4 linked regions of the Struthio camelus genome follow. The protein of the gene in region 1 interacts with the protein of each later gene in a pairwise test. Links are inferred from orthologs where the notes say so. Each region holds a gene or a part of one and is shown in the gene's direction. Other genes may lie near its edges.

What was found.
Region 2: the proteins of CYTH4 (region 1) and FOS interact in a two-hybrid assay, tested with the Homo sapiens proteins (2 studies listed by BioGRID and IntAct). The two-hybrid records come from large-scale screens. The link is inferred for Struthio camelus from reciprocal best matches to the Homo sapiens genes CYTH4 and FOS.
Region 3: the proteins of CYTH4 (region 1) and IPCEF1 interact in binary tests that used the Homo sapiens proteins (3 or more experiments, as listed by UniProt). The link is inferred for Struthio camelus from reciprocal best matches to the Homo sapiens genes CYTH4 and IPCEF1.
Region 4: the proteins of CYTH4 (region 1) and CNKSR1 interact in binary tests that used the Homo sapiens proteins (3 or more experiments, as listed by UniProt). The two-hybrid records come from large-scale screens. The link is inferred for Struthio camelus from reciprocal best matches to the Homo sapiens genes CYTH4 and CNKSR1.

Annotation. Positions count from the first base shown.
Region 1 is NC_090942.1:59,011,167-59,018,849, reverse strand, and holds the start of CYTH4 (cytohesin-4), read left to right. Parts: upstream 1-4,672; 5' UTR 4,673-5,101; coding exon 5,102-5,204; intron 5,205-5,523; coding exon 5,524-5,606; intron 5,607-7,637; exon of another isoform or gene 7,638-7,683. UniProt on the Homo sapiens protein: Promotes guanine-nucleotide exchange on ARF1 and ARF5. Promotes the activation of ARF factors through replacement of GDP with GTP.
Region 2 is NC_090946.1:57,949,208-57,956,710, forward strand, and holds FOS (protein c-Fos), read left to right. Parts: upstream 1-4,495; 5' UTR 4,496-4,655; coding exon 4,656-4,796; intron 4,797-5,220; coding exon 5,221-5,463; intron 5,464-5,577; coding exon 5,578-5,685; intron 5,686-5,784; coding exon 5,785-6,393; 3' UTR 6,394-7,188; downstream 7,189-7,503. UniProt on the Homo sapiens protein: Nuclear phosphoprotein which forms a tight but non-covalently linked complex with the JUN/AP-1 transcription factor. In the heterodimer, FOS and JUN/AP-1 basic regions each seems to interact with symmetrical DNA half sites.
Region 3 is NC_090944.1:79,650,820-79,658,081, forward strand, and holds the start of IPCEF1 (interactor protein for cytohesin exchange factors 1), read left to right. Parts: upstream 1-4,261; 5' UTR 4,262-4,276; coding exon 4,277-4,334; intron 4,335-7,262. UniProt on the Homo sapiens protein: Enhances the promotion of guanine-nucleotide exchange by PSCD2 on ARF6 in a concentration-dependent manner.
Region 4 is NC_090964.1:7,138,988-7,146,817, reverse strand, and holds the start of CNKSR1 (connector enhancer of kinase suppressor of ras 1), read left to right. Parts: upstream 1-4,829; 5' UTR 4,830-4,844; coding exon 4,845-4,896; intron 4,897-5,298; coding exon 5,299-5,483; intron 5,484-5,608; coding exon 5,609-5,811; intron 5,812-5,934; coding exon 5,935-6,019; intron 6,020-6,433; coding exon 6,434-6,475; intron 6,476-6,559; coding exon 6,560-6,679; intron 6,680-6,756; coding exon 6,757-6,816; intron 6,817-7,107; coding exon 7,108-7,176; intron 7,177-7,339; coding exon 7,340-7,459; intron 7,460-7,604; coding exon 7,605-7,684; intron 7,685-7,830. Other genes in the region: ZNF593 (zinc finger protein 593), read left to right, coding at 1-125, 414-476, 714-855. UniProt on the Homo sapiens protein: May function as an adapter protein or regulator of Ras signaling pathways.

The DNA of each region.
Region 1 (7,683 bases):
ATCCGGTGTACACGTGGCACTTGGGATGAGCGCCCATAAGCTTTGGCTTCTCTTCATGCAGCTCTGGTATGGTTTGCAAGCTCCTCAGTAATGTTTCCCTACAGCCTCCAGGAGCTGTTTTGCCTTTGCAAGAGCATCTCATGCAGTTGAGTTTCCCAGTGTGACAGGCTTACAAGGCTTTTGGCAGTGGCATCCTCTCTTGCTTATCCCCATGTTAAGGCAAATGACTGTATTGGGGTTCTAGCACTTCCAAATGACCTGCAGGTGGGCCTGCCTAGTCTTAAAATAATCTCAAAAGGCAGGCGTGGGTGGAGGAGATGAGCTGCATCTGAGAAACAGAGAGAGATCTCAGTTTTTATTTCCTACTTTGGCAGGTGGTGGATAAAGTGATTGGGATTTAGCAAATCAAGGGATACTAATTGACAGACTGTTTCTAGCCCCCTTCTGGCTATGTGTGTGTATGCTTGATGAAAGGCAATGGAAAGGAAAAGCAGAGAGGATATAGGCTGAGCAGGAGCAAGAAAGAAAAGGGATCATTTTGCAAGGACACTGAGACTCAATCCTAGCAGGCCTTTGCATATAAGATATGTAGCACAGAGTGAAGGGAAAAAGCACTGCTCAATTTCAGCAACAGTTCTCTGCTTTGTTAGCTCCTAGCTAGATGGCAAAGGAGCTTCTACAGGCCAGATCAAATCCCACACTGGGCTTGCCTGCCAGGGAAATTGGTGGGACTCATGGGAGCTGAGCCCTTGCCAGAATTTGGCTGTGTGTGTTGGTGAAGGTGGGTGTCTTCACAGCACCCGGCTCTCACTGCCTGAAAGCAAAAGTAAAGAAAGCTGCTGCAGGACAAACTGAGGTGGGAAGGGAGGTGGGTATCTCATGTTTCTCTGCCGGTACAGAGCTTATTTTAAGGTCTATTTTCCACAAAAACTGGGGCTCTCAGAATGGATAGTCTGACAGTCATCTAGTAAAATTATGTGTTATTGAGTTAATTATATCTTAAAACTATGCACTGCAGTGGTGCAAAGGGGTCCTGCTCAGGGATGATGAGGTTTTGCTCAGCTCTCGCTAGAGGCAGAGCCAGGACACAGGCAATGCCTGAAGAGAGATTTTTGACTGGTGTCTTTGTTCAATCCCAACTTGTCACTTCACAGTCTGGTTAGGAAGTAGGCTTGTTTGATGCTGCTCCACCTTGGGAGCCAAGACTCCCCACAGATGCAGGTTTCCAGTGGACTCTGGAGCCCTGGATGTGTTTCAAGTTGCTCAGTTGTGGCATCATTTGTCTGAAAGACATGGGTGTGTGTACTCCTTGTACTTTTCCTGGAGTCTCTCCTACCTAGAGAAGCAACGCCCCTGTTAGGTACCTGCCTGCTCAGGCTGGGTGAAGTTGAGCCCTATGTCTATGGGGAGTTTGTTCTCCCTGCAGTGGACTTCCTCTTTCAGGTTCCTTCAGGACCCTTGAGTGACTGCCTGGGTAAGGCCACAAAGCCAATATGCCAAATCACTGAGCTGGGTAGCAGGGGTTGGGGGAGCAAGCCTGTACCCCTCTATCACAACACAGGATGTGCGGGGTGGGAGCCCCAGGTTAAAGTGGTTGGAAACTGTCCTGAGTGCTGTAGGTTGTCATGTGGGATAAGGGGACCAATAGCCAACATAAGCTCTTCTTCCCACCTTTCCCCAACATAGCAGGAAAGAGCAGTTTCTACCTGTGTGAGCTCACTATTGAATTTCTTCTGGAACAAGCTGGCAGAGAACTGTAGAGTGGCTGCAGGAGAGAAACAGATTGGGCTGGAGGGAACTGAGTAACTGGTAGGTCCTTGCCCTGGTACCTGGCTGGGTGGGTGGTCATCTGTGCTGAAGATGACACAGTCCTGTAGCCCAATTCAAAAAAGAGAAGGAATTTCAGGTAAAATTCTTCCATCACGCAGGCTCAACCAGGCAGGTGGTGCCCAACAGGCTGGTCTGCTTGTGTGTTGTCCTGGGTGGAGGATCCTAAAGTCTTTTGTGGCCAAAATAGTAAATACTATTTACTGGAAAAGGGGCCAGCTGAACCTCTGCTGTCATGCTGTAGGCATGCTCGTGGATGCACATGGATGGTCTATAACAGTGCTGCAGACAGTCATTCTTGGTAACCTTCCACTGCTGCTTCTACAGACCATCCTTCCAGTTCTCCTGTAAGTACTGCCCACTTACCTCTATGCTCCAAAAGCTACTTTCTCATTTGTATACTTTTGCTTGGAATTGAAGGCCTCACTTTGCACCTGGACAGCTTTGCACAGCCCACTGCAATGGGAAGCAGTTACTCTTGGCTGGCCACACGAGCACCTAGACTTCTGGGTAACTCCAGCCTGCTCTCCAGATCAGGAGGCTGATGGCCTAAGACACCACAATTGGAATTTAAATCTCTGTTCTGTGTTGAGATCCAGCACTAAAAACACAAGGCTGGGTGATTTATGAGCAAGCGGCAGGTCTTTCTATATGGGTCTGCCCTGAGCGAAAAAGCAACCTCCAGAGCAGGTGTGAGTCCCACAAGTGTGGTGCTCTCATGCTCTCCCTCCAGATCTGTTCTCTGGAAATTAGGTTCCCAGCAGCCACAAGTCCACTTCGGAGAGGGTACTAGCCAGTATCACAACACACTGCTTATGTGTTGTGTTCTTCAGAGTTGTGTTTGACTGCCAGCATCCCCCTGAAACCTGTGGGTGTTTTCATAGGGTGTTCTTCAGCAGTAGGTGAAATTTCCCCCTGTGCAGAGAACCCTGACATGGGCTATGCATCATCTGTGTCCTGATTTGACCCTAAAAGGAAGTGGAACTTGGTGGTATGGAGGATTTTGATGGTGCTGAAACCCCGCCTCAGTCCCCTTGTGTAGGGATGAATTCCCCCTGCCATTCCAAGAGTCTGGAGTGAGTCAGGGTAATACTTCACTGAAAATCTCCTTCTCCTGCTGATTCAGGTTGTTCTGAAAGTGGAGAAGGAAGGAAGGCAAAGCAGTCTGCTCCCATTATCTCATCTGCTGCTTGCCCCCCGCCTCTGTTGCTTTCTGTGACTTTCTATGGACGGTTCCCCAAACACGACTTCTGTGTTCACTTCCCCTAACTGTAGTCCCCAGTGCATGCACTAACATTGATGAATAGCCTCAAAATAGCCTGGAACAGAGCATCAGGAGTTCTGTTAGAGAAGCAGAGTGATTTACAAGAACTGACCTCAGAGTTATTTTCCAAGGCAACCAGGGACTTAAGCTGTTTAGGCTACTTATAAAACCTTACAAGGACCCTCTCTGCACCTTTGGGTACCTAAATTGCTCTGGAAGTTTGATCCTTGTATTTTTTTTCCCTCCTTTTTTCACCCCTTCTGTTTTTTTTAATTCCTTGATTCCTTCCCCTTCTCCTTAAGACTCATATGCTTTGTCTCCCCCACCCTCCCCATACTTTCCTCATTCTGACAGGCTGGGCAGGTAAATCAGTTGGGGTTTTCAAATGTTCAGGAGAAAGGGGGACTGAGTTATTTACAGTTTCAGCGGGGGTCATGTGAGTGAGACAATATCCTCTGGGATCCTCATGTCTCTTTGAGATGCTTTAGGCTGCTTCAGTAGACACAGAGCAACTGAAGCAAAGCAGCCAGCCACACCACTCAGTTTGCTGATGGGATGGAGGAAGGGAAGACTCCTCAGGTGAGTCCTGCTGCAGCGCTTTTGTGGAAACAAGTACAGGCCAAGATGTCTTAGTGATAATTTGACAAGGTATGACTCCAGTGATTCCACAATTCCCAGGCCCCAGGGGGTGAGGGAGATAAAGCTGGAGAGGTGGAGAGGCTGGCCTCATCTCCTGCAGGCTCCAGAACTGGGGGAGACATAAAAGTAAGTTGAAAGGCCCAGGTTTTCTTGAACACTGCTCACAGGCCAGGCTGACATTCAAGGGGGAGTCAGCAACCTGCCCAACATGCAGCAAAGCCACTGCATGGGGTTTTGTTTATTTGTTTTTAATTTCTGGCCCACAGATTTGGCTGTTGCAAGCTGCTGGATGCCACAACTTTTCCTCCCTTCTCAACCAGCTTCAGAAGCAGTCAGGTTTTTTCAGCTCTTCATGGAGGTTCCTTGCAGAGCTAGGAGGGGATATGGGCCCTTCTCAGCCCACACTTCCCAATGTTTACTTGCCCGACGCTTTCCCTCCAGGGGTGTGGCAGCCTCTCCCTGGGGAATGCAGTGCTTGAAAATGTCTGTAAGAGTGTCAGCGAGAGGCTGCAGTCTGGAAAAGGTGCTAGCACAGAGTTAGCACATAGAAACCCAACCAGCCAGGATGGGGGAAAAATTAGGATTAGGGATGACAGGTCTCTCTGAGCTGTTTTGGGTATGGCAGGAAAGAAGCATATAGGCTCCAACCTGACTGCCTTTGTCCCCTTTCCTCTTATCTGTCTTAGCTGGTTCCTTCCCCTTTTCTCCCCACTCATATTTATAGCAGTTGTTTTGCATGTGAGATCCACACTAAGAGTATTTCCAAGGCAGCTGGTGCCACTTCCCCTTTTTCCAGGAAGATGGGAGGCCCAGGGGATTTTAGCTTATAAAACAGTAGAACAGGGCATCCAGTGACCTGACCTGACTTGCCAGGAAGCTTTGTCTTTCAGTGTTTAGGTACAGCAAAGACCTTGACTGTGAGTTCTGCAGTGAGTTCCCAGGAGCGCCATACTCTCAGCTTTCTGTGAACCCCTGGTTTTTCCTGTGGCTCACCATCTGCTTTGCCTTTCTGTGGCTGCAATCTCCTCTTTCTCCTTGCTGAAGATGCTGCGCTCCAGCTGGATTATATTTAGTAGCACTGCTGTCACCCCAATTCTTTAAGGTCTTTTATGAATCATTCTGTGGTCTCCTTGGCTCTGCTGCTGTATGTTTGACTTCCTGTACATTACAAGGAAGCCTGCTCATATTTCTGTATTGTCTGTAGTCCACAGTGGGGGAGGAGAGCAGAACAGCAGTCTCCCACAGACAGTCCTTCAGCAGTGCTTTCATCCCCGAGATCCTGCTCTCAGACTTGAAAAATCTTGATTCTCTCTCATAAGCCATTTCTGTCTCTAGCTATGGTAGATCAATCAATGAAGCTAGTGGCTCTTCATGGGACATTTGGATTTAGATGGAGTATTTGGGTCACAGCCTTCCTGTTCCCCAGATCTTGTACATAAAAGTGACTATCATGAAAACCACCAAAGAGCGTTTGGTGAGACCTCTTCACTGTGTTCGCAATGAGTAAAATCTGTTGAGTAGGCAGGGTAGATTGCTGCAGGGTTAGATCAGAGGGCTGTCAGGCAGGAGGGATATGGTGGGCTGAGTTGCTGGCTTTGGACTGAGAATCATTTGCAGGGCAAATCTGAGGTGCAGTAGCTGCAATAGCAGGGGAGGCTGGAACATGGATATAAGAGGTACTGTGGCATGATCCTAGGAGAAGGAGAGGATGAGCATTGGGAGGCTGAGGCAGCTTTGCCTGTGATGTGCTGGGCCTCAGTACCCTTCTCACAGGCACCTGTTTGTTCTTCCAGAGCCATCTGACTTGAGCGAGGCTGAAGAAGCTGAAATAGAGACAATCAGGCAGCACAGAGAGGAGCTTCTGAAGGACATTAAGGTAAGGACCTTACCTCCTCCTCACTGCTTAGCCTTCTAAAAAATGTGTTCACCAGGGAATCTCTTCAGTAACAGTCCAGGCCATGCAAAAGTGCTCCTGGACAAGGGATATTTGCTTTGGCACGATCCAGCTTGACTTCTGAAATTCAGGCTGCCCCAGCATGTGTGCCATCAGTATTCATCCAGCTTGTGGTACTCTGCTACAGGAGTCATCAACTACCACAATGGGGCATTTGAGAAAGGCTTCTCAACTCATTAGCAGAGATGAGCTAGGACCCCATACTTAGCATTAAGGAACCTTCACTAAGTTCTACTGACAGGGGTCTGGCTCAGCATTTACGGCTCTTTCTAATTGCTCACTACCTGATGATGACATATCCTAGTTACCTACTGCATCCCTCCATGTTTTTCAAACTTTTATTTGCTTTGTGGACCTCTAACAAGTCCTCCATGAAGGATTCTGTCCCTTTAGAAAGGTGTGACGGCAGGACGTCTCACACAAGTTTCCAAGTTTGAACTTGTTTTTCTTCTTTGCTTTTAGCAGTCCTGTAGATTTCCTCTACTGACTCCCAGAGTCTGCAAGTGACATATTCAAAATCACTCAGTAATACCACATAACATTCATGCATGGTGCTGTACAGTTTCCATTCTGTTTTCCATCACCATGGCACGCGGGCTTCCATCTGAGAGAGCTTATTGAACTGAATCATAGGACGTACACTGCTTTTCTGACAGCATGAAGACGTTCAGATGCTTGGGAAATGGGTGAAGCATGTCCTTGCATAGGAGAGAACATTGAGCCAAATACCTATCGCTTCTCAGGCTTCCAGACATAACATCTTTGCTGAGAAATCAGAATGATGTCTTATCCTTTCTTGCAAAATAGGCTGTGGTTGTTACCTACTAAGTTTCCAGAGTGAACAGTGGGCACTGTAAAAAGCAGGATATGTGAATAAGAACACTACATTTTTTTTATCCAGTACAGCCAGAAAAAAGATGTTAGACTACATGGACGCATATCCTAAACCCTAAAGCCATTGATCAATGTGACATTCATTGCTCAGAGGGATGAGTTTAGGTAAAGGGGCATCTAGCAAGAGAGAAATTTTCCAAGCGTGGATTTCTTCAGAGATCATCTAGCAATATCCTTTAACACAAAGACCTGGAGGAATGGCTTGGTGGGATGGGAGAGGGAGAGAGGAGGGAAAAGAATGAGTCTAAACTTGCCTGTTAAACTGACAAAAGACAGTAATGAGGGAAACAACAAAACTATGATAATTATTTGTAATTCAGGAGCTATGATCATGGATTTGTTACATTTGTGCACCATCAAAATTTATTAAGGAACAGTCTCAGCTCTGGCAGCCTGATGAAGCAAGACAGAAGGAAAGCAGGAAGCAAAATCAAGGTTCAGAAGCTCTTTTAAATGGTGGGATTTCAGAGAACTTCGTAGTTCCTGTATCTGGGTACATAGTGTGGCCATGTCTTCACTCCTTGTTGAAGCAATATCTGGGATGCAACAGCCCGTCTTCCTCTGACCATTCTGGTATGCCTGTGCTGTGTGATCCTGGAAAAGACCTGTGATGTACTCTGGCTCCTAGACAACGAGGAGTCCAGAACAGCAGGATGGAAAGAAACAGATCATAGTGATCGTGACAAGGAGATCACAGCAATCTTTGTTTCCTTGATAACCCAGATAATTTAACAGAGAGGGCCATGGTCTGTCGTGGACCTAAAGGAAGCTGAATATTACAATTAAGACTCAGTCTGACAATGATTCCTCCTCTTTTCCTCATCCCTCTTTTTTCTGCACTTAAAGACAGATTTCTACTCACTGGTGTTTGACTGATAGGTGCATTAAAAACTCTGTGTTTTACAACTTGGCCACTTCAAGTCTATTTCAGCCTGCCAGTTACTGGTTCCACTTCTGCTTTCCTGGATGCATAGCAGGGCGATGCAAAATAAACGCCAGAAAGAAATGGGCATGATGTAATGAGTCTCACATGTGACATCCTTTGAGGAGTTGAAATGACACTGGGCTGAGTTATCTCACTCTTCCATGCTGTATAAGCATGACT
Region 2 (7,503 bases), on another chromosome or scaffold:
CAAACAATCCTCAACATCCTGTCCCTTTCCTTGACTTCTGTTGTTTTGTTCTCCACCCGCAACAACATCTCCTTAGCCAAGCAGAGCGGTCTCCTCCTCCTTGATCTCAGCACTTCCTGCCCCCCCGCCCCGTGTCCCCTTTCCTTCGGGATCCCCACACCCAGGGCACGCAAGGGCCCCTTCGCCACAGCCCAGCCTGCAGCCCAGCTTGGCGTTGGCTGCCTGCCCTGCGGGGAAGAGCAGCTCGCGCGGAGGGGGCCAGCGGGACGGCCCAGCCGCCGCCGCCCCCAGAAAGCGCCGGTGAGGTTCGTGGGTGCGATGGAAAGCCCAGGCTGACTCCTGCTTGTGTCGGATTTTGTTGCGCGCTCCTCGGGGGGTTCCAGCGAGGGAAGCGCCGCTGCACTCGCCTCCTTTGGATCTTGCTCCATTAGCTGAAGAAGACCTCTGTCAGTCTGTCTGTCATGGGGCTTGAACGTGCTGCCTCTCACCGTAGCGTGCGAGCTTGCTTCCTCGCCCTGCTTCATTTCTGAGGTTTTACCTCTAAATACTGAGCAGTTCTACAAACACGTGGGCCACCTTGTTTCGCGTAGTTTCCTCTCCTCTCGCGGCTGACCGATGGTGCCCTAGGAGGATAGATGATAGCACGCGCAGCGCCCTGGGGTGGGCTCGTCACCTTAGAGGCGCAGGGAGAGAAGAGGCCAGCTTGGCTCCAGCAGTAAAAAGGGACTGTGCCGGCAGCAGGAGCGTTGCCTGGAGGACACTGTGCTTGCGCTGCTCTGGGTTATAAAACGTCACTTTGGGGTCGCTGCTGCTAGAGGTGAGGGTCCCAAGGCCAGCCCGGCCCATGGGTCAGGGGCGTACAGGACGTGCCGCGATGGGCGAAGCCGCCTTTGAGACTTGCCGTGTCTGTGCGAAGCGCGGTGTTGTGAGCGTATGGAGGCAGGTCCGGCCGGGCGGGAGGTGGCATCATCCAGCACGGTGCAGGCAAGAGCCAGAGGCAGCGCGGTGACAACGGGTGGGAGGCGCTGGCAGCATCATTGGTGGTAATTGGCAGCTGGTGGCATGTGGCTGCGCGACCACGAGATGCCAGGATGTCTCCGCTCGCCGTGTTTGTTCTTTAGGATGTCCCTGTCACACACCCAGCTGCTGTGATTATTAATTACTATTTATACTTGGCTATAGGTAGGCTCTGCACTTTAAAGAGCCATGAAGGTGGGAAGGCTGCCCTCCCGGGAGCTCCCAGGCGAGGTGGCGTTCGTAGGAAAGCCACAGCTCAGCCCCCGGATGACGTGACGGGGCCCTTCTCCAGCGCCTGCTCCTCTGCCACAGCAAGGCAGGGGGCACCCCCCCCCCACTGCTTTACCAGCCCCCTTTCCTACTGCTCCCTGCTGCTCGCTCCAGAGCCCCGCGGTCCCTGCCCCGCTCTGCAAGCCTCCGCGGGGCCAGGCAGGCGGAGGGGCCCCGTCACGCTGTGCCGGGAGAGTGTGCGGCGCAGGACACGGCGAACAGCGTGCGCCTGTGCGAGGGGAATTGCACTAGTGCCCCTGCTGCCTGCGAGGTCTGCGCCGCCGCGGGGAGCTGCGCCGGCTTCTCAGCACAGAGGAGCATTTGAGAGCAAGGAATTATTTGTTAGTGCCCAGGGCCATGTCCCTGTGCCCCCCCCCCCCCCCCCCCCGCCGGTGGCTCCGCCGCGGGCCCCTCGGCACTGCCGACCCCCCAGCAGCAGCCCCAGGTTTGGCAAGAGGCACATGTTTGTCGCGGCGCGCGCCCGGAAAGTGAAACGTGGAAGCGCTCGGTGCGGTTAGCTGTGGTGAGAGGATCCATGTGAGCTGTTGCCCGGCTGCCGGCGGGCCGCGCTGCTGCCGTGAACTTTCCCCTGGTGAGCGGCCGGACGGAGGCACAGCCCTATCCTGACCCGGGAGTTGGCGGTGGCTGCGCGGCTCGCGCTGCAGTGGCCGTGGCCTCTCCGTCCCGCCGGGCACGTGGGAACGGCGGGCCTTTCCAGGCAGCAGCCGGCAGCCCTGCCTGCGCAGGGGGCTCTGCGCGGGCGGGGGATCCCGCGCCCCGGGGGCGGGGGGGGGTCCCAGCCCGGCAGCGGCGCGTCGGGCCGAGCCCCGGCCGAGTGCCGGGGGCCTGGCAAAGCCCTGCCGACCCTGCTCGTGCGAGTTTAGCAGCACTGCGGTACTCAGCGGGCTCATGGTACTTGTGTGCTGCTGTTGCGAGCGGGCCAAAGGACGGCTCGTTCCCCGCTGGCGGAGCCAGGCAAAGTGCCTCTGTCAGGCTGCGGCACGGGAGCAAGGGCAACCCCGTCACCCGGGCAGGAGGGTTGCGCTCTGACTGTGTTTTGTCCCTGCGGTACTGCTCACTTCCTCCTTTTCTTTTCACAGACAGTGTGGTAAAACCGTGTGCGCCCCGCGTTTGGAGCAAACAACAAACCCACGTCATGTGTTTTTGGTTTCTCTGTTTCCTTGCCTCCGTCGGCACATGCTGGAGATGCGCAGCGTCTGTGCACTTTCCGTTTGGTGCAAACAGAGCGCGCTGGGTCGCCAGCGGAGACGGCAACAGACGGCTTGCATCGGCACCACCAAAATATTTTGGGCTCTTGGCAAAGCGGGTCCTCCCCCTGGTTTCCAGAAGTTTCTTTTGCGGGTGCGATTTGGCAGGGGGAACCCCGGGGCTGCCTGCAGGCGGGAGCAGGGCTCAGCAAGCAGTCCCCAACGCGTGGCTGGGAAATGTTTGGGGCCTTGAACTGTGCTGCAGGCTTTTCTCCAGCCCGAGCCACCCTCCTGGGCCCTGCGGGGACGCGGCCGTGGTGGCCGGCGGGCAGGGACGGCCAGGCCGGGGCTTTGCGAGTTCACCGGCGAGGACGGACCCCTTTGCCGGCAGCGCGGGGCCGAGGCTGGCCGGAGAGTGCAGCCCTGGGCGCCGCGCCGGGCTGGGGCCAGCCGCTGGGCTGGAGCAGGACCAGCCCCTGGGCTGGCGCAGAGGTGGCGAGAAGCCCATGGGCCGTTGCTGGCGAGCGGAGCGGGCCGTGCGCCGCGGCAGTCCTTGGCTGTCCCCTCCGCTCTGACGGGCAGCGCAGAAATAGCAGCTGGCCCAGTTCTCCCGCCCCCGTGGCCCAGATCTCTAAGAACGGAGGTTGCTCGCGCAGCAACAGCGGCGGCGGCAGCAGCAGCAGCAGCAGCAGGCGCTGCATTTAGCCCATGAGCTCAAAGAGCGGGAGAGGCTGCCAGCAGGATCCCAGCCTGGCTGGGTGACGCTCCTGCTTGGAGACTGCGCTGCAGGCTCTGTTTGTTGCTGTAAACATGCTTGCTGCTGCAGCTTCCCTGTTACTATCTATAGCCGCGATCTCTTGGCGCCCGTGCAAGGCGAGTCTGCGGTCTGGCTCCCAGCTTTGCCTGACCTGAGCCAGGGCTGCCTGACATCCCCGTCGTGGGTGGGTGTCTCCGGGCTTCGCTGCAACCGGGATCAAAACAAAACCCAAACTAGGGGAAAGGACAAGCCTCACCCATTGCTCCTTGCTGGTGGTTTCCTGGTGGCCCCCTGCCCACCCGCTGGGGGTACAGCGGCATCCCGGCACCCCCGGGCGCTGCTCCCGAGCTCTCCCAGCCCTCCTGGGGGCCGTGTCTTGCCCTGCAGCCCCGCAGGCTCCCCTGGCAAGGCTTCCCAGCGCCCTGTGTCATTATCCTCCTTCTCGGCTCTTTCTCTGCATATATAATAGAAAAGTAAATAATGCCACATGAGTGTAACATTTTCCTCGCTGCAGGAAATGGAGTAGGTTAGATTTTCCACATGGACAGCCTGTAATATTCCAGCGCCGGGCTACAGACAGAAATCGCTCGATGCCAGCGCCGGGATTTATTTGCAATAAAAAAAGTAGACGTGTGTTCCTCGGAGGAGTACTGCCGCTCCGGCTGCCCGGCCCGGCCCGGCCCTGCGCCCCGAGCCCTTGCGTGCCGCCGAGCCCGCTGTGCGGGCGCCTCTAGCCGAGCGGGAGCGCGGGGGGCGCGCGGTCCGGCGGGGACCCGACCCGACCCGTCCCGTCCCGTCCAGTCCAGTCCCGCGGGGCGCGCCGCCCGCCGCCGCCGCCGCCGCCGCCGCACTTGGCTGCAGCCTGGAGCGGTTCCCGTCAGTCACACCCCCTTGCACAGGATGTATCCCATATAAGGATATCTGCGTCAGTGGGTTCCCGAGCTTGGCGGTACCACGCCGCGCGGGAGGTACCACGCGGCACGCGCGCGGGGGGGTGGCCCCGCCGCCGGTCCGCCCCTCCCCCCGCCGCGCCGCTCGGCGGCCGCCCGCCCCCCCCCGGGCCGTTGGGCGCGGCCCCCCCGCGGGAGGTGGTGGGGGCGGAGCGGGCGGACCGGCCCCGGGGCGGGGCGGGGCGGCGCGGGGCCGGCGGCCCCCCCCGCGGGCGCGGGTGGTGCGTCCCCAGTGACGTCGGCCTTTTTCACACGGCGGGAGGGTATAAAAGGGGCGGCGCGGCGCGGTACTCCAGGGCAGAGCGAGCCGAGTGGCGGAGCAGGAGCCGGAGCGACGCGGTGGCGGCACGGACAGGCGCAGCCGGCCTTCCCGATCTCCTTCCCTCTTTCCTTCCCGCCTGAGGACACTCCGCTCCCACGGCCCCGGGTGTGCACCCTTCGAGCCGAGCCGATATGATGTACCAGGGCTTCACCGGTGACTACGAGGCACCTTCCTCCCGCTGCAGCAGCGCTTCTCCGGCCGGGGACAGCCTCACCTACTACCCGTCGCCGGCGGACTCCTTCTCCAGCATGGGCTCGCCTGTCAACCCGCAGGTGAGGGCCGGGGCGGCGGGGGGGAGGAGGAGTGGGACACCCCGGCGGGGGGGGGGGGGGGACGCGGGCCGGGACCGGGACCGGGCGGCGTGACGGCGGCGGGCTGCCCCCGGGCCGGGGCCGCATGGGGCGGCGGCGGGGTGGCCCCCGCGGCGGGGCGGGCGGGGAGCCGTGGCCCGGGCTGCGCTCTGCAGCGGGTGCGTAAAGCGGCTTCATTGATAAAACGCGAGTTCATTGAGGAGACTCCGGAGCGGCGTCTGCGTCAGCGCGGACGTCAGAGATATTTATAACAGCTCCTTTTCATGTGGAGCCGGGTGATGGCAGCGCGGCGCCGCGGCCGGCGCGGCCCCGGCGGCTGCGGGAGGCGGCCCGGGGCGCTGCCGCCCGCCCCGCTCACCGCCCCCCTCTCCCCCCCGCCCCGCAGGACTTCTGCGCCGACCTGGCGGTGTCCAGCGCCAGCTTCGTGCCCACGGTGACGGCCATCTCCACCAGCCCCGACCTGCAGTGGCTGGTGCAGCCCACCCTCGTCTCCTCGGTGGCCCCCTCGCAGAGCCGCGGCCACCCCTACGGCGTCGCGGCGCCCGCCGGCGCCTACTCCCGGCCCGCCGCGCTCAAGGCGCCGGGAGCCCGCGGGCAGAGCCTCGGCCGCAGGGGCAAAGTGGAGCAGGTGAGCGGGGGGTCGGGCCGGGTCGGGGGGGGGGGCCGGGGCTCGGGCCGCGGGGCTGCCCCTGCCGGGGCACGGGGTTGGCAGCGCGACTCAGCGGCCTCTCTCTGCCTGCAGCTGTCCCCGGAGGAGGAGGAGAAGAGGAGGATCCGCCGGGAAAGGAACAAGATGGCAGCGGCCAAGTGCCGCAACCGGCGGCGGGAGCTCACGGACACGCTGCAGGCGGTAAGTGTGGCCCGGTCGGGGGGGCAGGGGGGTCCCGGCCTGGCCGGGGGTGGTCGGGGCACCAGGCTGGCCCTGGCTGACAGCCCGCTCTCTCTGCAGGAGACCGACCAGCTGGAGGAGGAGAAATCCACGCTGCAGGCAGAGATAGCCAACCTGCTGAAGGAGAAGGAGAAGCTGGAGTTCATCCTGGCAGCCCACCGACCTGCCTGCAAGATGCCCGAGGAGCTGCGCTTCTCCGAGGAGCTGGCAGCCGCTGCCGCGCTGGACTTGGGTGCCCCCAGTCCCCCTGCCACCGAGGAGGCAGCCTTTACCCTGCCGCTGCTGGCTGAGGCCCTGCCGGCTGCACCACCGAAGGAGACCAGCGGAGGTGGGCTGGAGCTCAAGGCTGAGCCCTTCGATGAGCTGCTCTTTGCCACAGGGCCACGGGAGGCCTCCCGCTCGGTGCCTGACATGGACCTGCCTGGGGCCTCCTCCTTCTATGCGTCAGACTGGGAGCCGCTGGGTGCTGGGACCAGTGGGGAGCTGGAGCCCCTCTGCACCCCCGTGGTGACCTGCACCCCCTGCCCCAGCACCTACACCTCCACCTTTGTCTTCACCTACCCCGAGGCGGACACCTTCCCCAGCTGCGCTGCCGCACACCGGAAGGGCAGCAGCAGCAATGAGCCTTCGTCCGACTCTCTCAGCTCCCCCACCCTGCTGGCCTTGTGAGTGGCCTAAGGCCCCTGTACTGACTGACCTGCCGGGCCCCCTCCCCTGCCCGTGCGCCCCCATGGACTTGCCGCTGTGCCCCACGGGTCCCCAGGCCCGGGGAGGGCCCCACCACCGCTGCCCCCTCTGTCTGGCCTGGCACCCTGGGGCCTGGCAGAGCGCCCTGTGCTGAGGCCTCGTACCTCTTCCAGAGATGTAGCAAATCGCATGGAATTTGTCTTGTCCCCAATGGCCCACCCATGAGAGCTGGTAGTCTGTAGCATGTCCCACATGGCTGGGTTGGTGACTCCCTCCCCTCCTTAGTATCACTAGCATTAACTAATTAATCTCTTGGTTTTAAATTATTGGGATTTAACCTGGTGCTGGGTATCTCCAACTCGTATCTAGTGCAGCTGATTAACAATAACTGTGTTCCTGGCAATATCGTGTTCTGATGACTTAGCAATGACCCATCTTCTGTGGGGGGGGGGGGGAAGAGACTCTATTTTATTTTCTAGTAGGTAGATAAATAGCTATATCCATGTACTGTAGTTCTACATTGATGTTCATTGTAACTTTACTGATCATGCATTGTTGAGGTGGTCTGAATGTTCTGACATAAGTTTTCCATGAAAACGTTTTTATTGTGTTTTTAATTTATTTATTAAGATGGATTATCAGATATTTATATTTTTATTTTATTTTTTTCTACCTTGAGGTCTTTTTTGACATGTGGAAAGTGAATTTGAATGAGACTTAAGCATTGTTTGCTTATTATTGTTCAGAGACATTGTCAATAAAAGCATTTAAGTTGAATGCTGGAGGTGTCCTTGCATTGCCTTCTTGCATCACTTCCTTGTGACCCCCAGAAGTGGTTCCCTTCTCTGTAACGTGGGCTGGGATTCATGAGCTGCAGCCTGGTGCTAGCTGTCTGAGGCATGGGGTGCTCCAGGGGCAAGGGTGGGAATGCCCTTAAGGACAAGTCTGCCCCCTGTCAGAGGGCTGGGGCACTTGGGATGGGTGCCAGGGTGATCTCCTCTTCTATGACCTTACCCATCCCCCCTCTCCCTCTGGGGATGCCTGTCCTTGGCCTGCTGTCCTTTCTCTGCCCTTGTACCTCTGCATTTCACC
Region 3 (7,262 bases), on another chromosome or scaffold:
AACTCGACTGAAATCCATTTTTAACAGCTGTTCAGCCTGCTGATCTGACTTACAGAGCTCTGTGGAGTTTAAGCCTTGGCTACCTTGAATTCAACCTTTCTACATTTCTTTATACTTCTCTATATTTGTGATCAGCTGGCTCTCTTCTACGAAGAATTGGACCTTAAACTCTGGAGTGGCAAATATAAAAAGTTTTGAGAGCAAGTCCTTTTCTTGGAAGTAATTTGTTTTTCTTGTTTGGAGTAGCTTGGGTTTTTTCTTCCTCATTGATCTCAACAAATCACGGACTGATGGTTAAAAGTGCTTTTACAGTCTATATAGTACAGAACTGAGTTTCTTGTTCCAAGCCTCTTATGTATTTGGCTCTGTTTTAAATTATTGTTCCATTACATAAAAATTATTATAATTTTGAGTTAAAGGCTATCATAGAATTTGAAGTAGAAATAATACTAATTCAGGACACAATGAACTTCAGCTGTGATATTATGACTTGACACCACTTTAATGTTTTTGTCACCCCGTGCTAGGATGCAGGTTTCAGCAAAGTTTTCAATGCAGAGAAAAAGGAAATTATGTTGTTGGACAATACAACCGCGAAACTTTATTTTTGTCTAATTTGTCTATGTTTTTAGATAAAACAGTTCCCCTCATTTTTGCATGGTAAGAAAAGAAAACTTTTAATTCCTTCAAAGCTATGAGTTTTTTTAACTGAAGTTTGTTATTTTTTACATGTTTTAGTATTTCTAGGATGTGGGAGGATTTTCCCTGAATGAAAAGATTGTTTTTCCTGAGAGTCTCTGTGGAAGAGAAAGCTACAAAGTAGAAATAATTATGGCTTGAAAATAAGAAATCTTTGCTGTGGGCATGATTATGGTGCTAACTTTTTACTGTACTAAAACTCCCACTAACATTAGTTGATGGGAGCAATTTATGCGTGTAAAAGTCACTTCAGTGTGATGCCGAAGCGTATCTTATTCACTTTTATATTTTCTTCTAGGGTACTGTTAGATTTTAGGGAATGTATATTAACAGGTCTCCTCCAGAAAGAGCAGTTTGCTGGTATTGGGCAGGACTTTTGCTTTCAGATGCTCCCCCAGAGCTTTGTTGTCATTTAGGTGTTTCTAGTCATGTCCATATGTCTGAAAAGCATCATTGCTCATCATGAGATAGTAATTCACTTGTGTTCAGTCACTGATGTGCTTAGATGAGTTGTATCCGGGTCTTTCAATGACCCTGTGCTTTAACAAGACGTGACTAATATAACCTTATTGTCCTCGATAATGCTTGCAAAGCAGATGAGCTAAACTATAATATCTGGTCAGAAGACATGAGAAGCTATATAAATGCCAAGAGAAACAGGATGCATAGTGCCATTTATCTGAGGAAAGCAGGAGAGATCAGCTACGAGGACAAATACCCCGTTCCGCATATTAGAAAAAGTGTGTGTTGAAAGTTGTGTCATCAAGTGAGTTGACTTAAATGGAGATAATTTAGATGATGGGTATTTAAAGTCCTTGTATTAGCCTTAGACTCTTTAACTGGTATAAATTACAGCTGTGCTGCAATGAGAAATATTGAGTGTGGGGTAGCTTTTCTCCAGACATTTGCTGCTCATTAGTTACTTGTACTACCATGTTGTTTTTGTTGCGAGAATGGCATGCAACATGAGAAGGAAGATTGAAGAAACAATTAAAATGGATACATGCTATTGTATTTTGAAGAAGATCATCAAAATAGGACTAATTACTCTGGTTGTGATTTCTGTGAGCTATGCACTGCCATGAAATAGTTGATAATATTGATTTTATTTTGTATTTGTTATCACTGGGAAGTCTAAACAGTTTTGAGGTTATTTACTTTTCTTAAATAAATCTCAAAAGATATTTGTATAAAAACAGATTTGAAAAAAGTTGAGGAACTCTGTATCAGAACACAGGGAACCAAATATAAAACACATAAACACCTGAGACTAATTTAGAAGAAAAACAGAGAGAAGAGAGAGAAGATGGTAAATAAAACTAGTGAAAAATTGTCTCCTTTACAAAAAAAAAAGGGGGGGAGGGAGAGTGAGAGAGGGAGAATGAGATTGTATTGTGTGCTGTATTAACTCTGGGGAGTGCCATAATATGATGGAATTTAAGGGAAAAAAGTTTGCTGAGGTATGGCTCATGACATCAAAAAAGCCAGTTCTTCTTGGAAAAACTGGAAATTGTTCTTGTGAAAGGATAATTATAGTTTATTGCTGCAGCTAGTTTCCACATGTTACCTTCTAGTTTAGAAAAACGTTCACTGCTTTACTTTCTGATTTTTCTACAGTGAGGGCAATCCCACAGAAAAGGAATAAGAGAAAGTGCTCAGTTGCCCAAGATTCAAGAAGCAAGTGTTTAATGTCTTTAGATCTGCATTTGCAGTCATTTTAATGATTTTTTTGGGGTGTGGATATTCTGGCAAAAGCTATAGTGGTTTAAGAAGCAAGAATCATAGTAAATTCTGACTGTTCAGAGGTGCTGATGGCTGCAGAGAAGTATTAGAGCCATCTTTTGCAATCAGTAATAATTTTTTCTAAGTTTTATTTCCGCTCCCAGGGTCTACCATCTTGTTACCCTGCCCATCTTGGACATGATACCCTTTTCACAGTGATGGACGGTTAAGGAACTTCTCATAAATATTTCTTACTATGCTCTTTTTGTGATTAAGAGGTGTAGCAGGCTTTTTTCTCATACTCACTGCAAACAGGTAAAAATGGAAAACGCTAATCACAGTTTGGACATAGGAGTTAAAGACCACCTCGTAATAAGGCAACTGAATTTTGATTGTAAATCTCCTTATATGAGCACTGCTTACAATAACTTGTGAGCCATGTGCTCTCAAAATCTAAGGATCTAAGGGAAGCACAAGCCAACTCTTGGCTCTACAGATTTTTAGAGCTTGTCTTCAGAATCCTTCTGGATTATAATTTTTTTCTTAGCAAGTACGGGGCTTTGATTCTTTTATTTTCCAGTGAAAACTGAAATCTTCATGCAAAGATGTTATCAAGAAATGAGAATTTAAAAATCTCACCACAAACACTAGTGAAAAAAATTATGACAAGTTGTAATTTCAAGAAGGAGAAAAGGAAAAATTCCCTTTCTTCTTCTCAGCCATTAACTGGACAGTTGGAAAGCTACAAACTAAAATTGCAGAAGTGGCTGGTGATTTTGGACGCTGCCTGGGAAAGGGATATGTCCGAAAATGGACCAAATTTTTAAAGGGTGTTCAGCACTTCAGGTAATCTTTGAAGGTTTTTCTATTATTGAAACCCAACTGATTTTATCTGCTTCAGGAACTGCACTCGCTCAGTGCTCTGTCAATAGTAATAACTACCAAACAAATAGGACAAACCCTGTGATTTACTCTTCCTGGATGACACCGAAGAAACAAGGAAGCAGTATGGTTTTTTTTTGCTTGTCTTTCTCTGTACCTTTCTAACAAGTCTGTCACGGTCTAATTTTCTCCCCAACTCTGTGAAGCCGCAAGTTAATGTCATAAAGAGACTATGTTATTAACGTAGTACTCAGTGAGTGCTGTGGTAGGGGAAAAATGTCTTTGCCGCTAATGTGAAGTTGCTTAAAGCTGCATGTGTACCAAATACTTGTCATATCTCTTTCTTCTAGTAAATCTCACATACTGAAAATTAAATGAAACTTTATTATCTCAATTAGATGTGATTAAAAGAAAATGAAACCCATAACTGAAATCAATAGTCTAGAAGTGAGGAATTAACTGCTGATTAAACTAGATTCTCAGGGCAAACCCAGGGCTTTCTAAGAGTATTTTCTCACTGTATCTTAGAGGTTATTATTTTTCTTCTCAGCAGTTCGCATCTGATCTGATTCATAAATACTCAGAACAGCACTTAGCTCTGGAGAAGCTCCGATTTGGGGAGTCCAGTTTTCTCTGTTCTCTTTTTGCTGGAGAAATGCATTTCACCATGAAGAAAAGAAGACCGCATGCAAATTTCTGTGGCTGAATGGACTTCATTGTAGCGCAGGAGCTGTATCACTGTCCTCAAGTGCAACCTGTCAAGACGGTTTGACCTTGCTTTACTTCCCCTTTCTAAGAATGCTTTATTAGAGAGAGATAACATTTGATTACTATATATGCACTTCATGTACTGTAAAGGAAGGAAGGAAGATAATTTTTTTTAATGCTCCCAGTTGTTTAATGAGGAATCAAACAGCACTCTCAAGGCTTCGGCTGCTTGTGAACTTTTCTGAACGTGAAGTGGAAATCCTCAATGGAAGAAGAGGCAGTTCTCCCCGTTACTTCTTCCTTGTTTCATCCTCATAATCAGTGTAATGATTTTGCTTTACCTTTTAGAAGCTGTTCTCTTGACATTTCTCTGCAAGTGTGCTAGTCTCTTTTGTAGAACTGCCAGTGTAAAGAATACTGCCTGGGTGGAAGAAAAGGGGAGAAGATATAGAGAGAAAATCATAGAGTGCAAGCAGTATTAAGTTTTTAATACCTTTTTCTTCTCAAATGCATATCCCAACAGGATGCTGCTGTTACCCTGACGCTTTGCACCGACAGTTGTGACCTGCCTAATATCATGACTTAATGGAATTGGACATCCTTATGGCATCTCTTGTCAGGGCAGCAGCTGACAATACTGCTTGAGCAACCCTATTTTTTTGACATAGACAAAGCCTCTACCCGCAGTGCTCTGGAGGGCAACGGTAAACATAGGAGGCATTGGTTGGCTTTTGCTGTGGTCTTAGCTCGGCTGCCTTAAAGTAAATTACTTCCGACCACTAGATGGCTCTGCCAATATGTAGTTACAGGTTCAGCCTCTCGTTGGAGCCCTGGCTTGAGCAAAAGTGCAGTGAGCAAGAGCGTGTGGGAAATGGCAGTCCCAACTCACGGGGGATTTTGAGCCTCTGAAGCTGTTTTTCGTTCCAACATGGATAGAAAACAAAGTGTAAAAATTCTGCAAAAGGAAAATATCAATGTGCAGGGAGGAGGAAACTGCAAAGCCAGTTTGTCCATGAAATCCCAGGTGGCAGAGCTGGATTCCTGAATTGTGCCAGGCCAGGTGGTGGTCCTGATGCTCGGGCTCCAATACGTCCATGCTTCTTTCCAGGCAGCCTCTCTGCAGGTCTGCATGGAGCAGGAGAGCTGAAGTTTTCAGTCTCTTGGCCTTGCAAGTGGCCTCTTGTGGAAGGATCCTGAAGGATGCCAGGTGTCTGAGGGAGCCCTGTCAGCTGGGAAGGCTCCATGTTGATCTCCATCTAGTATATCAGGCTCATTCTGATGAAATGAAAATAATTTCCCCTCCCCTGTACCCTGGCTGATTTTCTTCCGAACCTCCAAATGTACCAAATGTTTCACAACAGCCTATTGCTGTGGTTCCTTCAATTTTTATTTTGCCTTGGGTATCTAAAACATTATGCAATGCTTTGACAGCAAATGTTGGTCAGAACTGAATTCCAGTGAGGATGCTTCAGTTTCCTCTCACTACAATGATCCATGTTTGCAGTGTTTCAAAAAAATGCCTGATTTCTGACACTGCAAAAAGTTGTGAGCCTTCTCCTATGACGCTGCTGATATTTTAGCTTGAATTAGAGGAGCAGTCCTGCTCCTTTCTACTAGAGAAGAAACATTCCTCTTGTTCTCTCTTCTGATGATGGAACTTGCAGTGTTCCCTCCAAGGTGCATTTGCTAAATGGCTGATCTGAAAAAAATAGAAGAGGGAATGCCCCCTTCCCCTTGCTTCTTTTTTGTAAGGGACTTGCTTCAAGAGAAACCCCTCAGACCATGGTCTCAGGACGGTCTACAGACCTGGGTCTTCCCCCTCACCCCTCTCACCTCTGTGTTTGATCTTCTGGGCTAACAAGAACTGTGCGTCTTTGGGACAGAGCAAGACTCCTGGGGAGTAGTCTCTTAGACCTGGAGCATTTCTTTACCTCTTCATTTTGTTAGCAGTTCATCCATTTCAGCAGCCAATTTCTTAACATTGTCTGCTTTTATTGTGCAGTAGTTTCAGGCACAGCCAAAGAGCTAGCTAGGAGGCAGGAGTAACTTCACTATTACACTTACCTTTTCCAAAAATGCTCCCCACGTCCTGGGCTTTGGCTTTACAAGGGCCTCTATCAACCGAGCAGCCCTGAGAGTCAGCTCAACGCTATGAGGAGTCTGAAAGCAAAGTCACGTTTAGGGTAAAAACACTGCACTTAAGCATACCATTCTGATTGATTTTCTTTGGTCTGAGAGAAGACCTGAGAGACAGTTGTGTAGCAGCTCTCTTCTCTTGAACCCATTCCTTCTTTCCAGCCTCCCTCCTCTGGAAGGCAGCAAGTCTGGGCTCCTTTAACTACTTTCTCAGAGCTGTCAATGCTTGTAACCTGCCACTCTCTGGGCTTCCCTGCTGGATTAACAGGATCTGGCTGTAATCCAGCCAGGGTGATGTCTCCAGGCCCTTTCTGTCTTGGAGATAGAAGCAGTGAACTTTGTTCCAGCCGTTCCTGGCCTTTTCCCAAACAATCAAAAGTCTTCTTTTTTAATTGCTTGCTGGTGAGGGGATTGAATCGTTTTAAATTCATTTGAAAATAAGGTTATAACCAATGGTGTTATCATGTGACATATGCATTTTTCTTTCTGCTAGGCCTGCTAAAAGAATTCTTGTGGCTTTTCAAAGGCTAATTTGGGGGGAAGTGTTCTTTTTTGGTGTTTTTGTTTTTTAAGGTTCTCAAATATATCCATTATGGCCCAGGTTGAAGGTATATGCTGACAAGTAAGACTTACAAATACACTTTAATGCACTTATTGTTTGTAAAATTAATGGTGAATCTGTAGTTTCAGCTGCATTTTGAGACACAAAGTCAGAGGGACCAAGAATGATGGCTTGTAACCTCATCAGGGTGGGACAGTCGTAGGTGAATATGAAAACTGCCTCTGTGTCTGTTTGTCTCTGCCCTGTGGGACAGCTCTAGCTTAACATCTGACCTTCCTGGCCAGACAGTTTGTGAGAGAGAATCTGCAGATCAAGAATCTCCTTTTACAAGTAAGATAGTTGATTTGCATAGTTAATTAATCAGTTAAGTAACTGACTTGATCATTAATTAGTAGCTACTAGTAAGATTCTGTCAGACTAAGCTGATTTCTAGTAACCAGAAGTACAATTATGAGCTTACAATTACCGTGTTTATTTTTTTTTCCCCCTCCATTGTTGCAAGAACCTCAGTTAGTGGTAACGTGATGATTTAGGACTATTACATAAGCCTCTT
Region 4 (7,830 bases), on another chromosome or scaffold:
CGGCGCCGCCGGGACCTGGACGAGATCCACGCGGATCTCAGGCCCGAGGTGGCCGCCAGGCTGCTGCGGCAGGAGCCCGACCCCGACCTGCCGGGCTGCGCCCAGTTCTACTGCCTGCACTGCGCGTGCGTCACGGGCCGGGGGGGGGTAACGGCCGAAACGGATAACGGCCGCGGGGGGTGGGGGGGGCCGGTCTGGGGCAGGGGTCGCTCTAACCCCGGTAGTTTGTCCCGGGAAGGGATGGAGGCCGCCCCAAGACGGGGTGGGCTGGTAGTGGGGGGGCTGCCGCTGGGGCCCGGGCAGCGGCTGCCTCACGCGAGGGCCCCTCAGAGGCGGCTGGGCTTGGCTGTCGCTCCCTGTCCCCCGCCCCGCTCCTGCCTCGGGCTCCTCTCACCCTCAGTCTCTCCCTGCAGGCGCTACTTCGTAGATCTGACCAGCATGAAGGAGCACTTCAGGTCCAAGGTGCACAAGAAAAGGTAAGTGTGGGGGGGGGCTTCTGTGGCACTGTGAGCCGCCCGTGTGGGTCCTCGTGCCATCCCCGGAGCTGCGCCTGTAGCCACAGGGCTCTGCCCTGTCTCCAGCTTTGGCAGGGTGAGGCTGGTGGTGTCAGTTCTGGGCCAGTTTGTACAGGAGTTTGGCTTGTTTTAAGGAGATTCAGGTGAACATCAGAACTCACATGGGTGGTTTAACAGTAATTTCTGCCTTCTTTTCAGGTTGAAACAGCTGAGCGAGGAGCCGTACACGCAGGAGGAGGCAGAGAGAGCGGCTGGAATGGGATCCTACATCCCCCCAAAGAAGGTAGAAGTACATACCCAACCGATCGATGAAGAAATCGAGATGGAGGCGTCCAGCTGAGTGCAGCGGACTAGAGGGCCAGGGCTGCCCTTATTACAGTGCTGCAAAAAAGGTGTTTTGTTACTGAGCCCTGTGAGGAAAACGAGCTCTCTTCCAGCCTCCCAGCAACGAAGCAACAGTTTTCCTGGCAGCTTTCCTTGCTGAAGAGCTAATGAGGAGAAGGCAGCCAGAGAGACCTTGGATGCCCTCGTTGGGGAGGGCGCTTGTGTACTATGTGCCTGACAGCAGACTGTGTTCCCCTTCCTGGGGAAGGGACAAGCAGCAGCTTGGTGTAAATGTTATATGGCTGTGCACTCATCTCTCTGGTTTTAGAGCAATTTTAGATACTTCTCCTTGGGTTAGAGGTTGACACCTCTAAGTCACCCATTAAAGTATGTTAATCAACAGGCTGGCAGTGTTGAATGCAGAATTCTTTGCTAGTGTGGTCCAGGCTCTGGCTTGGAGCAGTGCTGAGGTAGTGGGGACAGCTGCCCTTCTGGATTGAGGGTAGTCTCTCGATTTTAAACTTTTCCTGAACCTTGGAAGTGAAATATTCCCAGAGTGCCTATCAGTTTGTAGGAATGGCCTCGTCACAGTTCTCCTGCCCTGACAGGAAGGTAAAGCTCCCTCTGGTTTGTCTTCCGGTGAGGGGGATCCTAACGCGTTGGTGGAAGGTGCAGCACAGGAGCTTCTTTTGGGGGACTGTGTGCTGGAACGAACTGCTCTTCAAGCCCTTGGGTCTATCGCAAGCAGCTTTTTGTGTTTCTGGCCCTGCCTGATTTGAGCTCCCAGAGTGGGCCCTGATCCCCTGTGCGCTTTGAGGGGCAGGCGCTAATGTGTTCCCAGCAGGGACACCTCCGGGCTTCTGCCCACTAAAACGCAGTGCCTGGTGAGTGGTTTCATACCCCCAGAGAGCAGCGGCATGGGGCCGCGCACCCAGTGTGATCCAGTGCCTACCGCGTATCCCCCAGCCCAGTGCTGTTCTGTTCCTGCGCAGGGATCCTGCTTCAGCCGCCCAGGCTGTCGGGTGCTCCCGCCCCTGCTAGGGCAGCGCCTCCCTGCTCGGCCTCTCTCTGCTATGCGACTCCAATGTTTGCAACGCTTCCGTGTTGCAATGGCACTGACTGCCGTAAATTCCTGCAGAACAGGTTTGACTGATACAACTGTGGCACTAAAACAACAGATGAAAGGTTTGTCCCCCCTGCTGAGCCACAGGAGGAGGGAGCGCTCAGCTGTAGCAGCAGAAAGGCAGCGAGACAGTGCAGCTTTGCTCAGAAGGAAAAGATTTATTTGCATGCAGACTGACCAGATTTCTTCCCCCCAGGGTTATCGAGGCAATTAAACCTAGTTCTCTAGTTGGTATCTAAACACTCTCTGCTAGGGGCAGCTTTGCTCCATGCAGCAGCTCGGAGCAGTGTGGGGTTTGGTGTGCAAGAGGGAGAGGTGGGAAGGTCCTGGTGGGGAGATGGGGCATCTGCCCCCTGCTCGCAGGCAGCAATTCTCCGATGGGAGCCAACCCTGTGTCCTCGTTTCCACTCCCAGCCTCTTGCTCGGAGGCTGATCTTGGTCCCAGCCCTCCCAGCTCTGTTGTTATCTAACAGCGCTTTGCGCTGACCTCTTTTCTGCCGGCTGGTGACGTGGGGCTGCTGGCTGAGCCGCCCGGGGAGGGAGGAGCGGCTGTTAATTGGAGCTGGCCTGACTGCAGAGGCAGCACGTTCCCCTGCGCCGGTTCGGGGAGGGAGCCCTGTGCGGCTGCCAGCGAGGCGCAAGGGCTGCGTGGGCCCCTCTCCCGGGAGCAGGGTGGGGAGAGGGGGGCCAATGCCTCACCCAGGCCCTCCTTTCCATGCGTCTCTGTTCACTGAGGCTCGGTTGTCTCATGGTGGCAGGATCCTGGCTTCTCGGCAGCGGCTCAGTTTAGGGCTCAGCTTGCCACTGCCTGAAATTGGGTCCCTGGGCTGCGCCTGGCAGCTCTTGAGCTGGAAGGTGACCCTGGCTGCCAGCTCGCAGCGTCGGTTTGTGTTGTTGGGGAATCGGAGTCAGAATCGGGTTGGCTTTTCCATCCTTTGTCCTAGCTCCCAAAAGGGGGACAAACGTGTCCCCTCAGCTCCAGGGCAACAAAAGGCCAAGGCAGGGAGGGGAAGGGCAGGATGCAGCGTAAGCGGGCTACGAAGGGGCTATGAGGCGAGAGTGAGTCAGGAGACGCATCCGGCAGCTCCCCGTAGCCAGGGCTTGGTGAGCGGAGCGGGTCCGGCAGCTCCCGTGCCACCAGCTTGGGGCTCGGCTGGAGAGAGCGGGGAGGGGTGCGATGTCGCTGGAGCCCGGGACTGTTCCCTGGGCCAGGCAGCGCCCGCCAGCTCCCCGGCCTCACGGCTCCGGGGAGGCTTTGGCGGGGCCGGCCATCCGCCGGGCGCTGTAGTAGGAGAGGCTCAGCCCCACGGCGGCCAGCAGCAGGGCCAGGTGATTCACCAGCCGGTCCCTCGGCTCAGCCTCCCGCCACCCTGCCAGCTGCATCTGCGGGAGGAGAGGAGAGCGCTGCGAGACCCGAAACCACCCCGGGGACGGGACTCGGTGGCCCTGGGAGCGGGGACAGGCCCTGCTCCGCTCCGGCACGCGCTGGGCTAGCCCGGGGGCTGCGCGAAGACACGCGTCTCCGGGTACGCTGACCACGGCCGTGCCCTGAATGTCCTGGCTGCGCCCAGAAGAAACGCGGAGGGATTTAAGGGAGAAAGATGCAGTTTAGCCAGGGGCGCGAGGGTGCTCTCGGGCTGGGCTTTCTGCCCGCTCGCTGGGCTCTGCCTTCGGTGGCAGCACCCAACGCTGCACCCTCGCAGGCAGCTCCAGCCCTCTTTGGGGCCGGGAGCTGGGGTACGGCCGGGCATCGCTCGCGGCGGCAGACAGGGCTCGCGGGCAGCACGGTGCCGGGGGGTCCCCACGTGCCCAGCCCCAGCCCAGCTCGACCCTTACCTGGAGCAGGCGAAAATACCCCGGGGTTAAGCGTCTCGGGCGGATGATCATGGTGCGGCGGGGAAGGGCGATGGGCAGCTGCGGGAGGAAGAGGAGAGCGGCGAGGCAGGAGGAAAGGCCCGCGGCTGGCATGGCCCCGCACGGAGATCAGCTGGATCGGGGGCCCCCCGGCTCCGTCGTCCGGGAACGGGGTCGGGCCGCGCGTGGCCCCGGCAGTGGGACCCCCCCTGCCGCCGAGTCCCTACCATGGGTCCAGCCCTGACCCGAGCCGCGGCCGGGGGCCGCCAGCCCTGCGCCCTGGCTCCGAAATCGCCGTGCGGCCGCCCAGCGCGGCGCGGCCGCCCATCAGCAGCTGTCAGCAGCGATCAGCGCGCGCTGCTCCCCCAAGCGCACGGCCGGGCGAGGGGGGGACGGCCCCGCCAAGGCACCTTCCGGGAGAGGCCAGCTCCCGGCCAGCCAGAGCGGGGTCTGGGGCTCGGCGGAGCTGGCCGCGGGGCCCCGGCGTGTGCCGCCCTGTGCCTCGGTTTCCCCACCTGCGAAGGAAGGGGGGGGGGAAATCGCCCCCGGCGGGGGTCCCACCCTGGGAGCTGACGGCCTTCCCCTCCGTGCTGCCTGCCTGGGGGAAACCAAGGCACGGCGGGCCGGGAGCTGGGGGGAGGCGCGTGCCCGCGGCCCTCCGTCTCCCACCCGGCAGCGCAGGACGTGGCCGCAGACACCGTCCCCGGCGGTTCAGGCCCAGCGCGGGGGGGAAATAAGTCAGCGGGGCCGCAGGGAGGAGAGCGGGCCGGGGAAACTGAGGCAGCGCGCGTCGGCGCTCGCCCCGCAGCGGGGAAACCGAGGCCCGGGTGCCGGGGCGGGGGGGGGTCTCGGTGGGCCGGGGCTCTCCCCGCTCCGTCGGGGCCGGAGGGGCGAGCGGAGCAGGCCGGGGTGGGGGATGCTGGGCGGCGGGGGCGGGCTGCGCGGCGGAGTGGCGGCCGGGCGCACCAATCGGGCCGCCCTTACCTGGCGCAGGTGTGCCGGCTGCCGCCGGGGCCGCGGCGGCGGCCATGGAGCCCGTCGGCACCTGGAGCCCCGCGCAGGCGGCCGCCTGGCTCCGAGGTGAGCGGCCCCCGGCCGGGCCACCGCCGTCCCCCACCCCGGCGGGGACCTGGGGGCGGCTGCGGGGAGGCAGCGAAGGGGACGGTGGTGGGGGGACGTGCCTGCTGGGGGGGGGGTCACGGCGCTGGCCCTTCTCACCCCCCGGAGCGAGTGGGGCGCGCGGGGTGCCGCTTCCCAACCTTGGGGGGGGGCCTCGTGCCCCCCCCCCCAACGCTGCAGCCGGGCTGCGGTGCCGGATGGGCTGAGACCCGGCAGACTCATTCCACGGTGAGGCGGTGCCCAGCATCCGGCTCGCCCCGGCTGCGCCCGCGGGGATTTACCGCCGCTCCCGCCAGCGTCACCCGGCGAAGGGGCCGTCGGGGCGGGGGGACCCGCGGTGTGTCCCCCCTGCCGCCCCGTCAGCTCCAGGGCAACGCGTCCCCGGGGCAGGCCTGGACGCGGCGGTGCAGGGGTACCCCTTCGAGGCCTGGGGGCTGGCCGGGGCCGAGGTGCTGCGGCTGTCGGCGGGCGCGCTGGAGGCGCTGGGCGTGCGGCGCGTGGGCCACCAGGAGCTGCTGCTGGAGGCCGTGGAGCAGCTGCGGGCGCTGGTGAGTGCCGCCGGCCCCCGCTCTCCCCGGGGCGTCCCCGCTCTCCCGCGCCGGGGCCGGATGCGGGCAGCATCCTCGAGCATCGCCCGCTTCCCTGCCGCCCCGGCGCCTCTCTCCTGCGCCAGGACGAGGAGCTGGCGAGCACCAGCCTGCGGACGCTGGCGGAGAAGCTGCGGGCGCTGGCGGGCCGGGCGCAGGCCCTGGTGCTGGGCGAGCAGCCCGCCGGGGCGGGCGCCGGGGCCGAGCCGCGGCCGCCCTCCCTCGACCTGCTGGCCTGCGTCGTCGAGCTCGTCGGGGCCGCCAAGGAGCTCTTCTCGTGGCTCAACAGGTCGGGGCCGGGAGGGCGGGCAGCCCTTTGCACCGTCGCTGGCCCCCCTGGGGCACCCAGGGGTGCTGGGCACCCTCCGCTCGGCCCTGATCCGTCTGTCTGTCTCCCTCTCGTGCCCTCCAGGTACCTCTTCTCCACCCTGAACGACTACTCGGCCAGCCGCGACATCGTCTTCCTCTGCACCGAGCTGGCGGAGGCGCTGCAGGAGGTGAGTGCCGCGGGCGGCTGCCCTGCCCTGAGGCCCCGGTGATGGGCATGAGCCGGGCTTTCCCGAATCCGAAGCCTGTGTGTGCTGGAGGCAGCCGTGCAAGCGCCAGGGCTCCCAGCGTTATGGGGGATGCGGCACAGGGGGTCGCAGGGCCCGTCCCCCCCTGCCCCAGGAGCCTGGTTTTCCCGCGGGGACCCTGGCTGGGACGGTGCCGGCAGGGCCCAGACTGCGCCGGGAGAGCGGCTCCGGTGGGGTCCGGGGAGGAGGAAGAGGAGACCTGGCGATCTCTCACCCTGCTGGTGTTGGGGGGGCTTCGGCTACCTGTAGGGACCCCCAGGCCGGACCCCTTGGGTGCTGTCTGGAGCCAGCGCTGCCTGCGGTGGCCCTTGTGCTCAGCCCCTTGCCTCCTCCTAGGACTGCCCAGCGGCCGAGAGGGATGGCCGGATCCTGACGATCGTAAGTGCTGGCCGGGGGCAGCCGGGGGGGGGGGGGGCTGGCAGCACCGTCGCCCCCCGCTCAGCCTGGTTCTGTCGCCCCCAGTGCCAGCACATCGTGGGCATCTGCGAGAGCATCGTGGGCTGCAGCCCCGGGCAGCTGCTGGACCGCACGGCCGTGCTGCAGCGCGTGGGGCTGGCGCCGGCTCTGCCCACCGCCACGCTGGTGAGTGCCCTGGTGGCCCCGGCCCCGGATCTGCCCGCCGCCCCGCTCACGGCTCCCTTCCCCGTCCCCCTCCGCAGGACCTGGAGATCACATCCACCAGCTCCGGCCTGCACTTCGTATCTGGGACCCCCTCGGAGGTGAGTTGGGCGCTGCTGAGCCCGTGCAACTCGTCTCACGAGTGAGCACAGGCCAGGCTGCAGCGGGAACCCCGCTCCGCGCCGTGTTTCCACCAGCCCCTGGGCTCCCTCCTGCCGGCCGCCCGGCATGGCCCAAAAGGTCAGGCCGGCTGGTTAATGTTTAAGCCGGGCTTTGCAAAGCCCCGCTGCTTTCCCCCAGCCGCAGCTCAGCTGGCGGTGCGAGCGCCTCGGGCGCTTCGCGGGGGGCAGCCACCGCGGCGCCCCATCCCGCTGCCTCCCCTCTGCCCCCAGGCGCTGGCCGTGCGCGGCCCCCCCATCCTGCCCGGGGACGAGATCGTGCAGGTCAACGAGCAGGTCGTGGTGAGTGCGGCGGAGTCCGTCTCCCGGAGCGGCTGCTTTGCGGGATGCAGGGATGCATCCCCGGAGGAGCTGCTGGCAACGTGTCCTCTGCACGGCGGGGGGACGGGGGGCGAGCGCAGGGCAGGCGGCCGCTGGTCCCACCGGTGGCCGGTGCCCTTTGCAGGTGGGCTGGACGCCCGTGAACCTGGCAAAGAAGCTGCTGGAGAAGCCGAGCGGGGCCACGCTGGTGCTGAAGAAGGTGCCCCCCAGCCTGCCCGGCTCCCCCCAGGCTGCCAGGCAGCAGGTGAGCGATCCCAGTGCCCCTAGTAGAGCCCCAGCGCCAGACTGGGCAGCAGCGGGAGGTAGGCAGGGGTGCTGGGAGCATCTCAAAGCCCCGGGGCACCGTCCCCAAGCGGGACGTGGGCTGGGAGTGACGCACTGCCCCGCAGGCAGCCCGCTCGGATGCGGCGGATCCCGCCGGCGCCAGGAGCAGCGAGCGCCCCGGCAGCCCCGCGTCGCTGAGCTCCAGGTGAGCCCCGGGCCTGGTGCCCCGCGCGCCCCGGCCCTGCGCAGCCAGCGGGTGTTCGGGAGCATCCGCTCCGCCCGGGGTGGAAAACGCGGGCTGGGAGCACCGCGACGGAGAGTAACGTTCACGCGAGCGTCCCCGGAAGCTGC